3 linked regions of the Callithrix jacchus genome follow. The protein of the gene in region 1 interacts with the protein of each later gene in a biochemical or structural test. Links are inferred from orthologs where the notes say so. Each region holds a gene or a part of one and is shown on either strand. Other genes may lie near its edges.

What was found.
Region 2: of the proteins of TRIM28 (region 1) and SIRT1, one has a biochemical effect on the other in vitro, tested with the Homo sapiens proteins (2 studies listed by BioGRID). The link is inferred for Callithrix jacchus from reciprocal best matches to the Homo sapiens genes TRIM28 and SIRT1.
Region 3: the proteins of TRIM28 (region 1) and CBX3 form a complex in vitro, tested with the Homo sapiens proteins (2 studies listed by BioGRID). The link is inferred for Callithrix jacchus from reciprocal best matches to the Homo sapiens genes TRIM28 and CBX3.

What each region holds. Positions count from the first base shown.
Region 1 is NC_133523.1:51,179,395-51,183,141, forward strand, and holds the start of TRIM28 (transcription intermediary factor 1-beta), read left to right. Parts: upstream 1-1,163; 5' UTR 1,164-1,465; coding exon 1,466-1,805; intron 1,806-2,141; coding exon 2,142-2,254; intron 2,255-2,487; coding exon 2,488-2,620; intron 2,621-3,747. UniProt on the Homo sapiens protein: Nuclear corepressor for KRAB domain-containing zinc finger proteins (KRAB-ZFPs).
Region 2 is NC_133513.1:62,528,849-62,532,595, reverse strand, and holds the start of SIRT1 (NAD-dependent protein deacetylase sirtuin-1), read left to right. Parts: upstream 1-1,055; 5' UTR 1,056-1,064; coding exon 1,065-1,512; intron 1,513-1,555; exon of another isoform or gene 1,556-1,770; intron 1,771-3,309; coding exon 3,310-3,426; intron 3,427-3,747. UniProt on the Homo sapiens protein: NAD-dependent protein deacetylase that links transcriptional regulation directly to intracellular energetics and participates in the coordination of several separated cellular functions such as cell cycle, response to DNA damage, metabolism, apoptosis and autophagy.
Region 3 is NC_133512.1:31,895,149-31,898,795, forward strand, and holds part of CBX3 (chromobox protein homolog 3), read right to left. Parts: intron 1,761-3,647; coding exon 1,618-1,760; intron 1-1,617.

The sequences.
Region 1 (3,747 bases):
GAAGGGACTCCTGGGGGGGCTGGATGGGATTTCACACTCCTTGCTCTGTAGCCTCTTGTGATTTACATTTTTTGGGGCGGGGGGACCGGGCGTAGTGGCTCACACCTGTAATTTCAGCACTTTGGGAGGCCGAAGCGAGTGGATCACCTGAGATCGGAAGTTCGACAGTAGCCTGGCCAACATGGTGAAGCCCTGTCTCTACTAAAAATGCAAAAATTAGCCGGGCGTGGTAGTGAGCGCCTGTAATCCCAGCTATTCGGAAGGCTGAGGCAGGGGAATTGCTTGGACCCGGGAGGCGGAGGTTGCAGTGAGCCGAGATCGCGCCATTGCACTCCAGCCTGGGCGACACAGCAAAACAAAAACATTTTTCTCGATCTGTTGTCCAGGCTGGCGTGCAGTGGCACAGTCCCAGCTCACTGCGCCTCGGCGTCCTGGGCTAAATGGAGCCTCCCTACTCGCCTCCCAAAGTGGTGGGATTACAGGGATGAGCCATGGCGCCCGGCCGTGATCTACATTTGATTTGTGAGTTTCTGTGTTTCTCACGACTATTATTTTTTCTTTTTCTTTTTTTTTCCCCTTCACCTCCTCCCCACTCTCTGTGTTTCTCAAGTTTAATCATAACGTGGCTAGATTCCAAAAGTCAGCCTCTGCGCTCACCCAGGAGCTGCCTCCCTCCTAGTAGGATGGAGACTCTCCTCCCCTCTCCCCTGGGCACAGCCCTTCACTCGATCCTGGCCCCGCCCACCTCCCCATCGGCCCTGCCCCCTATCCCGAACTCTTAGTGACGCCGAGGCTGGAGAGACTCTAAGCGGGACGAAGAGACGCTGGTTGAGGGGTTGGTACGAACTGCCCACGCGCTTGGGCGCTCAATGGCCTCCTTCAGTGTGGTCTGGAGGCGGCGCTGAGACGGGACTCACACTCTATAAAGGTGCGCACGCCCCGCTGGCGGATTACATTGCGGCAGTGACGTCACGTATGCCCCGCCCCGCTACCATCAGAGCCCCACCGAGGTAGGGCTGGCGGTGGTGGAGGGAACCGGGGTGGGCGCTTGCGTACTGGGGGCCTTTCCCCGCACCGACCGTCCTGGGCCCCGCCCCCGGGCGTGCGGCGCCCCTTGCGCGTGCGCGGCGTCGTCGGCGCCAGTTATTTCTGTCCCGCCCCTCAGTCGCGGCTCTTTCTGCGAGCAGCGCGCGGGCGAGCGGGTGTGCTTGTGGCGCGTGGTGAGGATTTCGGCGGCGGCTGGAGAAGCGCGGGCGGCGCCTTCGTAAAGCGAGCAAGCGGCAGCTGGCCGTGTCGCAAACAGCGTCCTGCGCGCGGTGGGCAGCAGCCCAGGAGGCGCGTGGCGGCGATCGGCCTCGCGGCGGCGGCGGCGGCAGCGGCCCAGCAGTTGGCGGCGAGCGCCTCTGCGCCTGCGCGGCGGGCCCCGCGCCCCTCCTCCCCCCTGGGCGCCCCCGGCGGCGTGTGAATGGCGGCCTCGGCGGCGGCGGCCTCGGCAGCAGCGGCCTCGGCCGCCTCTGGCAGCCCCGGCCCGGGTGAGGGCTCCGCTGGCGGCGAAAAGCGCAGCACCGCCTCTTCGGCCGCAGGCTCGGCGTCGGCCTCGGCCGCGGCGTCGTCGCCCGCGGGGGGCGGCGCCGAGGCGCTGGAGCTGTTGGAGCACTGCGGCGTGTGCAGAGAGCGCCTGCGACCCGAGAGGGAGCCCCGCCTGCTGCCTTGTTTGCACTCGGCCTGTAGTGCCTGCCTAGGCCCCGCGGCGCCCGCTTCCGCCAACAGTTCGGGGGACGGCGGGGCGGCGGGAGACGGCGCAGGTAAGTACGAAGTGGTCAGGGCTCCGGCCACCCCTCCCCCACTCTCTGCCTTTGATTCCGCCTGGGTGCAGAGATGAGGATGCCACCTGGGCTAGAGGATGGGGGCTCGGACAGGGCACGGGGAGTACTTCCTGGGTTCTGCATAGCAACGTGGGTCTGGGCCGGCCGCTGAGAATGGGACATTTGACTTAAGTTGGAGAAAAAAGGCTCGGGGAGGGGAGGGGCTGGCTCGCTGCGGGATAATGGTCGGGTGGGGGGGCGGCCGGCAGGGGGATGTGGCCGGCCATATCCTGGGTGGGAACTTGTAACAGTTTCCCACATCCCTGTCTCTCGAAGTGGTGGACTGTCCCGTATGCAAGCAACAATGCTTCTCCAAAGACATCGTGGAGAATTATTTCATGCGTGACAGTGGCAGCAAGACTGCCACCGACGCCCAGGATGCGAACCAGGTGCGTCCTACCTCAGCATCCACAAAGAGGTCTCTGCTTATGGGGAGGGGACATGTGGCCAGGAGGAGCTTTGCACCAGCTCCAGGCTTGTTAACTCCCCTTTCCCAAGGCTCTGGGTGGGCTGCCTAGGCTGGGTCCAGGGACCAATCTTGATCTCGGGTTGTATTTTCTGGAATGTAAATGTGGACCTATCAGGTTGTCTTGCTTTCTCTTATCTTGTCTTTATCTGGCAGTGCTGCACTAGCTGTGAGGATAATGCCCCAGCCACCAGCTACTGTGTGGAGTGCTCGGAGCCTCTGTGTGAGACCTGTGTAGAGGCACACCAGCGGGTGAAGTACACCAAGGATCACACTGTGCGCTCTACTGGTACATGAGGCTGAGGGGGCTATTGAAGTTGCTCTCCAGTGTGTCCTCAGCTGCTTTCCTAATGTTGGTTGCATCTGGTGGATGGGTTCTAGAGTTCTCTAGGGGGTGCCACTTGAAGGGCCTGAGGGCAGAACTCCAAAAGCAGGAAAACTGGGGTTGTGGTGTGTAGTCTTCTGGGTGTAGGTGGGAGGGAACAAGAACGGGAGACAGGGGAGACCTTACTGTGCTGCAGGAGGGTATAAAGGGTTTAAGGTTACTTATCAGGGACTTCTCAGTCTTGGTGGTGAAGGGCCCAGCATGTGCAAACAGGGAAAGGCATGGTGTGAAGGGCTTACTGGGTTAGTGGTTCGCTGGCACACATGTGGTACAAGACACTGCTAGGGAAAGTGAGGCTTTGTGGATCCATGGAGTATAAGTGATGATGATTGCTGGAAGTGTTTTAGGTTTGATTTGTCAGCGACTTACCCAGAGTTTGGTTTGGCATTTCCAGCTTTTTGTAGACATACACTAGCTTTGGTTTGGAAAGGAAATTGAGAGATTTTTGAGTCTAGCCCAGTTTTTGGCCTAGATTCCTTCCATGAGTGGCCTTTTGCTAGCCATACTGTGATTCTTGCCATCCCAGAGGATGGCATTGGTGGAAGATGGTGGCTGTGGGGCTTGAGGAACCAGGAGGGATAGGTAGGGGCTGCAGGGTGTCCTAGATTTCAGATGTTCCAGGCAAGGGTTAGGGTGCAGGAGTGGGTGGCATTGGGGAAGTCTCTTTCCCAGCTTTCGGAGGTTACTAATGTGTTGGTCTTTGAGTGGGATTATTCTGAGCTCCAAGATTCTGCTCAAGAGGGGTGTGTGACCACCGTTCTGAGGGTCCTGGTTTGACATTTCATCTTCCAGCACGAGAGGCTCTGCAAGGTTTTCTCTGGGCCCTTGGATTGTAAGAGATCCTGGTGTGGTCGGGCGTGGTGGCTCACGCCTGTAATCCCAGCACTTTGGGGAGGCCGAGGCAGGCGGATCGTGAGGTCAAGAGATCGAGACCATTCTGGCCAACATGATGAAACCCTGTCTCTACTAAAAACTGCAAAAATTTGCTGGGCTTGGTGGTGCGCGCTTGTAGTCCCAGCTACTCGGGACGC
Region 2 (3,747 bases), on another chromosome or scaffold:
CTGAACCCAGGAGGCGGAGATTGCGGTGAGCCGACATCGCACCATTGCACTCCAGCCTGGGTAACAAGGGCAAAACTGCGTCTCAAATAAATAAATAAATAAATAAATAAATAAACAAACGGCTACATAGATAGCTCATGCTAGAAAGGAAGGACTCCAAATTTTAACCAAGCGCAGATGTGCATGGAGGCCAAGTCCTTTTCCTTCCATACTCTCCTCATACTGACCCAACACACCCATTCTGTACGTGAGAAAACTGAGCCCCAGAGAAGGGAATTCACACACGCTTGAAGCCAAGCTGGGGCCAGAATGCAAACCAGCTGATCTCCAAACCCTCGTGTCAAAGGTCGTCTTCCCATGAGGACATATGCCTTAAAGGATCTGACAATCTATACCACCCTACAAGTGACGGAGAGGGGCAAAAACAACCGACTAAGGAGAGAAGCAAGGAGCAGAAAAAAGCTAAAGAAGAACTGTGAGAATGGTGTGCTTGTGAGGAGGGTGGGAAGGGAGCCGCCTCCTTTTGCCTCTCTTCCTACCCATTGACGAAACAGAACGGCTATCCAGCGTATTTAAGGGAGCTGAGTCTTAGCCAGCTTCATGTGTGTTTTAACCCTTAGCTAAATCTAGACAAGGCTAAGGCAGGCCAGGTGTACACTTGAGGCAGAAGTAAAAATTCCCAGTGCGGACCAAAACTGGAGTTGTTCGGGCGGTAATGATTTGAGGTCGGTTTGAAAGAGAAGCTGAGAAAGCGGCCGAGGGGCGAATTTGGCTGCACAACACGCCTGTGCCACAGAAGGGTACGGCCGCGGGCCGCCGGGGCACAGTTTCCTACCAGCTCAGGCGGAGTAGTAGACGCAGCTGCCTCCGCCCGCCACGTGACCCGTAGTGTTGTGGTCTGGCCCGCGTGGGTGGCGGGAGCGCCTAGAGGGCGGGGGTGGCGATGGGGCGGGTCACGTGACGGGGTTTAAATCTCCCGCAGCCGGAGCCGCGGGGGCGCCAGTGCCGCGCGTCAAGCGGGAGCAGAGGAGGCGACGGAGGAGGGCCAGAGAGGCAGTTGGAAGATGGCGGACGAGGCGGCCCTGGTCCTTCAGCCCGGCGGCTCCCCCTCGGCGGCGGCGGCCGAGAGGGAGGCCGCGTCCCCGCCCGCCGGGGAGCCGCTCCGCAAGAGGCCGCGGAGAGATGGTCCTGGCCCCGAGCGGAGCCCGAACGAGCTCGGTGGGACGGCCCCGGAGCGTGAGGTGCCGGCGGCGGCCGAGAGCTGCCCGGCGGCTGCGGCGGCGCTGTGGCGGGAGGCGGAGGCAGGGGCAGGGGGAGCGGCGGCGGCGGGCGGGGAACAAGAGGCCCAGGCGACGGCCGTGGCTGGGGAAGGAGACAATGGGCCGGGCCTGCAGGGCCTATCTCAGGAGCCACCGCCGGCTGACGACTTCTACGACGAAGACGACGACGACGACGACGACGAGGGCGACGAGGAGGAAGAGGCGGCGGCGGCGGCGGCGATTGGGTACCGAGGTGCGCAGGGTGCGGGCTGCCGGAACTGCGCATCCCCTCCTCCCTCTCCCGGGGATCTTCCTGGCGTGGGGTTGAGGGGGTCTCTGGGACGCGCCGGAGACTCGGGGCAGGCTCCGTGGCGTTCTCTTCCCCACCACGGCCCTCCGCTTAATTGCGCTCCTCCGGGGCTGCCGTTCCTGCTGCGGGAGCTGCGGGTGGATTCGCTTTTTCTCTGTCTGTGGCCGGCCTGGGAGGCCTTGCGCTTTGCGCAGCAGCCAGGTCGGGAGGCTCTCGCAGTCGCTTTAAAATAAGTTTTCTCTTTTCCCTCTTACTCTTTTAGCATATTGCTTTTGTTAGAGCTTTTTTTTTTCCCCCTTTTTTTTGGGGGGGGGTTGCTTTTTTCTCCCCGCCCTCCCCCCAGGACACTTAAGTCTGCAACTTTTTGCTGTCCCCGTTCGTCGGCATTTTCAATTACTTTTTGCAATCTGACACTTGTGCAATTTGCTTTTTTTTAGGGTCTATATTTTTATGCCTGAAATTACAATTTTTAAAAGAGCAAAGCTGTTTCTGTAGTCACAGCCTGCAAAATATAAAGAACATGGCTGTTCCTGAAGACATTACCATTCTGTAATGCAGTTAGTAGTGGGCATGGGAGAGTCATACTACTTTTAGAGCAGTTCGTATTACTTTTATTTTAATCTTGCTCTTGTGTACGGTGACGGTGTTGAGGCGAAGCATACTCTTTTGTATGTATGTACTGAGACACATTTAACATTGCTAGTATAATGAAGCAGATATGTTGCATTTGTCGTGTTTTTGAAGGTTTTATATTTTTCATCTGAGGAATTTCTATTTTTGAGAGGTGTTCATCTTTATCAATATTTGGGTCAGGCCGGGCGCAGTGTCTCTTTCTTGTAATCCCAGCCCTTTGGGAGGCCAAAGCGGGAGGATCTCTTGAGCCTGGAAGTTTTAGACCAGCCTGGGCAACATAGTGAGACCACCTTTCTACTAAAAATTTTTTAAAAAGATTAGCCGTGCATGGTGGTGCACAGTTGTAGTCCGAGCTACTGAGGCGGGAGGATCTCTTGAGCCCAGGAGTTCGAGGTTGCAGTGAACTATGATCGCGCCACTGCACTCCACGGTGGACAACACAGTGAGACCCTGTCTCAAAAAAAGTAATGTGTGCCTTTTTTTATTATTATTAATTTTTTTTAAAATATAGAGATGGGGTTTCATCACGTTGGTCAGTGTAGTCTCGATCTCCCGACCTCAGGTGATCCGCCCGCTTCGGCCTCCCAAAGTGCTGGGATTACAGGCGTGAGCCGCTGTGCCCGGTCAAGAGACCCTGATTTCAAGCAACACAGTTGAATGCTAATTTAATAATTGTGTTGTTAATACTGTTTATTATTTAATAGAGGAAACAATTCAGAGATACCTATGTTTAGTATTATATGAATTTAAAGTGCACTTTGCCAGTTTTATTTGAATGACATTTTTGTGTAAATTTCCATTTATTACAAGTTTCACGAACTCTATTGTTTGTGGTTGATACTTTCTATATGTTACTATCTTTTCTGTTTAAGTAGACTTAATTTATTTTTAGATTTTGGCCGAAACTTTTAGAGTCAGAGCAGAATTCCTAAATATGAAGAAACTGTACCTATGAGAAGTGCAAGCCGACCCCATAGCATTTACACATACAATATAAATGTTAAATGCTTAATGAAAATGATTACACTATAACCCTTTATGGGTCTTCATACATATTAGGTGCACATTGTTTTGGTAGTCTTGGCTGACTTTTGGTTTGTTTTGCAGATAACCTTCTGTTCGGTGATGAAATTATCACTAATGGTTTTCATTCCTGTGAAAGTGATGAGGAGGATAGAGCCTCACATGCAAGCTCTAGTGACTGGACTCCAAGGCCACGGATAGGTATGGCTCAGAGCTGTTAACTTAAGAGAGTAAATGTATGCTTTTTGTTGTTGTCCTTGTTGGTTTTTTTGAGACAGTCTCACTCTGTCGCCCAGGCTGGATGGAGTGCAGTGGTGCAATCTGCAACCTCCACTTCCTGGGTTCAAGCAATTCTCCCGCCTCAGCCTTCTGAGTAGCTGGGCTTACAGGCACCCACCCCCATGCCTGGCTAATTTTTGAGTTTTTTTTTTTTTTTTTAGTGGAGACAGGGTTTCACCATGTTGGTCAGGCTGGTCTCAAACTCCTGAATTTGTGATCCGCCCGCCTTGGCCTCCCAAAGTG
Region 3 (3,647 bases), on another chromosome or scaffold:
GATGGGCGCCTGTAATCACAGCTACTCAGGAGACTGAAGCAGTAGAATTGCTTCAACCTGGGAGGCAGAAGTTGCAGTGTGCTGAGATGGCACCACTGCACTCCAGCCTGGGCTACAGTGAGACTCCTGTCTCATTAAAAAAACAAACGAAAAATGAAAGCAGTCTTCTACATTACCTATTACATTGCACATGGCATGTGCAGTATAATCATGCTAGTGGCCTAAAGTTTTGGGAGAAGAGGGAAGAACCCGTCCATTTCCAAATGTTTTGATGGGCAAAAATAATTTTTCATGTTTCATGGGCTTAAAAAAGTATGTACTTATGATACATACTGAATTTCAACTAAGAATACTGGAGAATAAAACAGGCAAACCTAAATCTCCTATTCAACTCATGATTCCCAAACTGCCATGCATTAAATGTGAAGAGCAGGGGAAGCAGGAGATAACAGATATGCGAAGCCCAATCATTTGACTATCATATGCTCCATCTCTAGCCTGCTCAGGAAATTGATCTCCACCTATCCATTTTTAATTGTCACTGCCTATGGAGCTTTGTGGTTTAAGGGGGAAGATACCAAGCAGATAAGCACAACATACACAACTGTTAAAAGTATGTAATTTCTGCTTGTTCAAGTTTTTCACATTTTGTTAATGACTAAAATTATCAAGAATAGTGAGAGCAATTCATAACAAAGAACACAAGGAACCAGAGAGGTAAAAAAAATGCCGAGCCTTGACGGGCGCGGTGGTGCACGCCTGTAGTCCCCTACTTGGGAGGCAGAGGTGGGAGGACTGCTTGAGCCCAGGAGTTCTGGGCTGTAGTGTACTATGCTGATCAGGGGTCCGCACTAAGTTTGGCATCAATATGGTGACCTCTTGGAAGCGGGTGACCACCAGTTTACCTAAAGAGGGGTGAACCGGCCCAGGTAGGAAACAGATCAGGTTAAAACTCCTGTGATGATGAGCAGTAGGAATGTGCCTGTGAATAGCCACTGCACTCCAGCCTGGACAATACAGTGAGACTCCATCTCTTAGAAAAAAAAAAAGCCCAGGGTCTAATTCTTAGGTATTAGGATATAATAAACCTAGTATAAACCCTAGATTATGAGTACTCTCCTGTATGAGACCCACTAGCCTATATTGTATAGCTTCAATGTTTTTTAGTACCCTCTGCGTGGAGGAAAATAATGCAAATTATTCTAATTAGTATGATACCTAACCAAATTAAAATATATTACATAGTAAACTACACTTTGTAATTTTATAAATTTGACTCCCCAGGGTAATAAACTAGTCTCTAGTCTGGCTCGGCTGTACAATGAAATCTTGGTTCTTTTTAAAATAAGATACCTAAATTAAAGGGGTCTTTACATTTAAAGATGTCTATGGAAAAGCAGGTAAAAGCCAGGTTAAAAACAGATTTTAAAACCACTTAGCTGCAGTTAAACATACAATAAAGAAGCACTAAGGTTTCTTACTGTAAGATAACTAAATTACAGGGGTCTTTATATTTAAAGATGTCTATGGGAAAGCAGGTAAAAGTCAGGTTAAAAACATTTTAAAACCACTCAGCTGCAGTTAAACACACAATAAAGAAGCACTAAGGTTTCTTACTCTGTAAATCCCTTCCACTTCAGGAAATATTCCACTTTCCCATTTACTACACGTCGATCTAGTACTTTTTCCACCACAAATTCTTCAGGCTCTGCCTCTTCAACTTTTTTACTCTTTCCATTCTGTTTCTTTCCCATTTTTTGCTAAAATAAAACAAAAGAGAAATTAAGAAAAATTCTTCTCGAGTTTTAAGCACATTTTCAAGGCTATACTGCTTATATTATTACATTCAACAAAAATTTTTAATTCTTTTTTTTTTTTTTTTTTTTAAGACGGAGTTTTGCTCGTTACCCAGTCTGGAGTGCAATGGTGCGATCTTGGCTCACCGCAATCTCCGCCTCCTGGGTTCAGGCAATTCTCCTGCCTCAGCCTCCTGAGTAGCTGGGATTACAGGCACGCACCACCATGCCCAGCTAATTTTTTGTATTTTTAGTAGAGACAGGGTTTCACCATGTTGACCAGGATCGTCTCGATCTCTTGATCTCGTGATCCACCCGCCTCGGCCTCCCAAAAAATTTTTACTTCTATATCCCAGGGCCTTCTGGAAAGATTAAAAGTCAACAGACAATAAAAGAACGCTTTATTCTGTTGATTTAGCTGAAACTTATGACCCACCACCCAAAATAACACAATCAAAAACATTATCTGGAAAATAGTCATCTTTTCCAAGTCTTATCTCTAGGTAGTCTCACAAGACCAAGTTTACTAGAGTTTTCACTCATTTTAACAACACAGCAACAACTGTGTAGGAAGTACTTAAAGGATGATACAGGTAAGAAAGCAGTAGTGACAGGTCTTCGGTGAACCCACGAAAGACCTTACAGACATCCCCAGACAGTAAGAGCCTCCTTCTCAAATCAAATATTAATGTCAAAAGCTCCAATGATATAGAGAAAATATAACAGCAGAATGAAAATACAGTTCAAAATCCTGATACCAACTGCAGGGTCAACTATGGAGACCACAAGGGGGTTAAAGGACAAGATTATTTTTCCATAATCTCTATAGCTATTTCTTACCACTTAGAACAAACCTATAAAGCTGTCACTTCAAGAGGCCAAAATGGCAGATTCATTTTAATTACCTAATGTGAAAAAAATCATTCTTTCCGGGTTTCTCAAGAGAAAATCTTAACTGGTAGTCAACCAAATTCACTTTAAACAGGCATTGGGGGCTTTTTTTTGGTGTAACACTCTTTAGGAGAAGTAGGAGACCAACTTCAACCAGTTCTTTCCAGTAACTCAAGACATGTTATGAGAAGTTTAAAAATGGGGAAAATTTCAAAAACCTGAAATGGTTAATCAGAAGATACTATGGGTTGAGAAGGAATCTATCTTAAAATTTCACCTTAAAACAAATGTTATTAAAATAAGATAAACCTCCACTGCCCAGTCATCCCACAACTAAAGCACCGAAACACACAAAAAAGCAACACCTCAAGTCTAAAAAATGACATTTTAAGCTATGCAGGCATATGGAGTGTGCAGACACCTATGCAAGAAAGGCCTCAAGACTGCAAAAGGACATTTCAAGCTATGCAAACATATAGGTGTACATACACACACACACACACGAATTAAAAATCCCCTAGAATACAAAAAAGTGCAGCAAACACCTGACTGTTTTGAATGCCATTTCCAAGTCAGGTCTTAACGATTCTCATTAGTAAAGATAGTTGAGTACTGGGCCCAGTCAAATAGCTTTCTACCTCTGTACAGTAAAAGAAGGTAGGAATCATAGTGGGAGGAATATAGACAAACTGCGATAGAGAGAAGTGTGTTAGATACCTATAGTAGATGAAAAACAAAACAGCTACTGCCACAAAGGGAGAAGGCTAACAAAATGAAGAGGAAGTCAAAAATAAATACAGAAAGCAAAAAGGATACACACTAAGATTAAAAAAAAAAAAAAAAAAAGGCAGACAAAATGTCACTTACTACTGTAGCATTCATAAGCTAGTTTCAAATGCTCACCATTTTTTCTTAACCCAGCAGTTTTTTCCAAAGATGAATTTGAGTCACAATATTTCC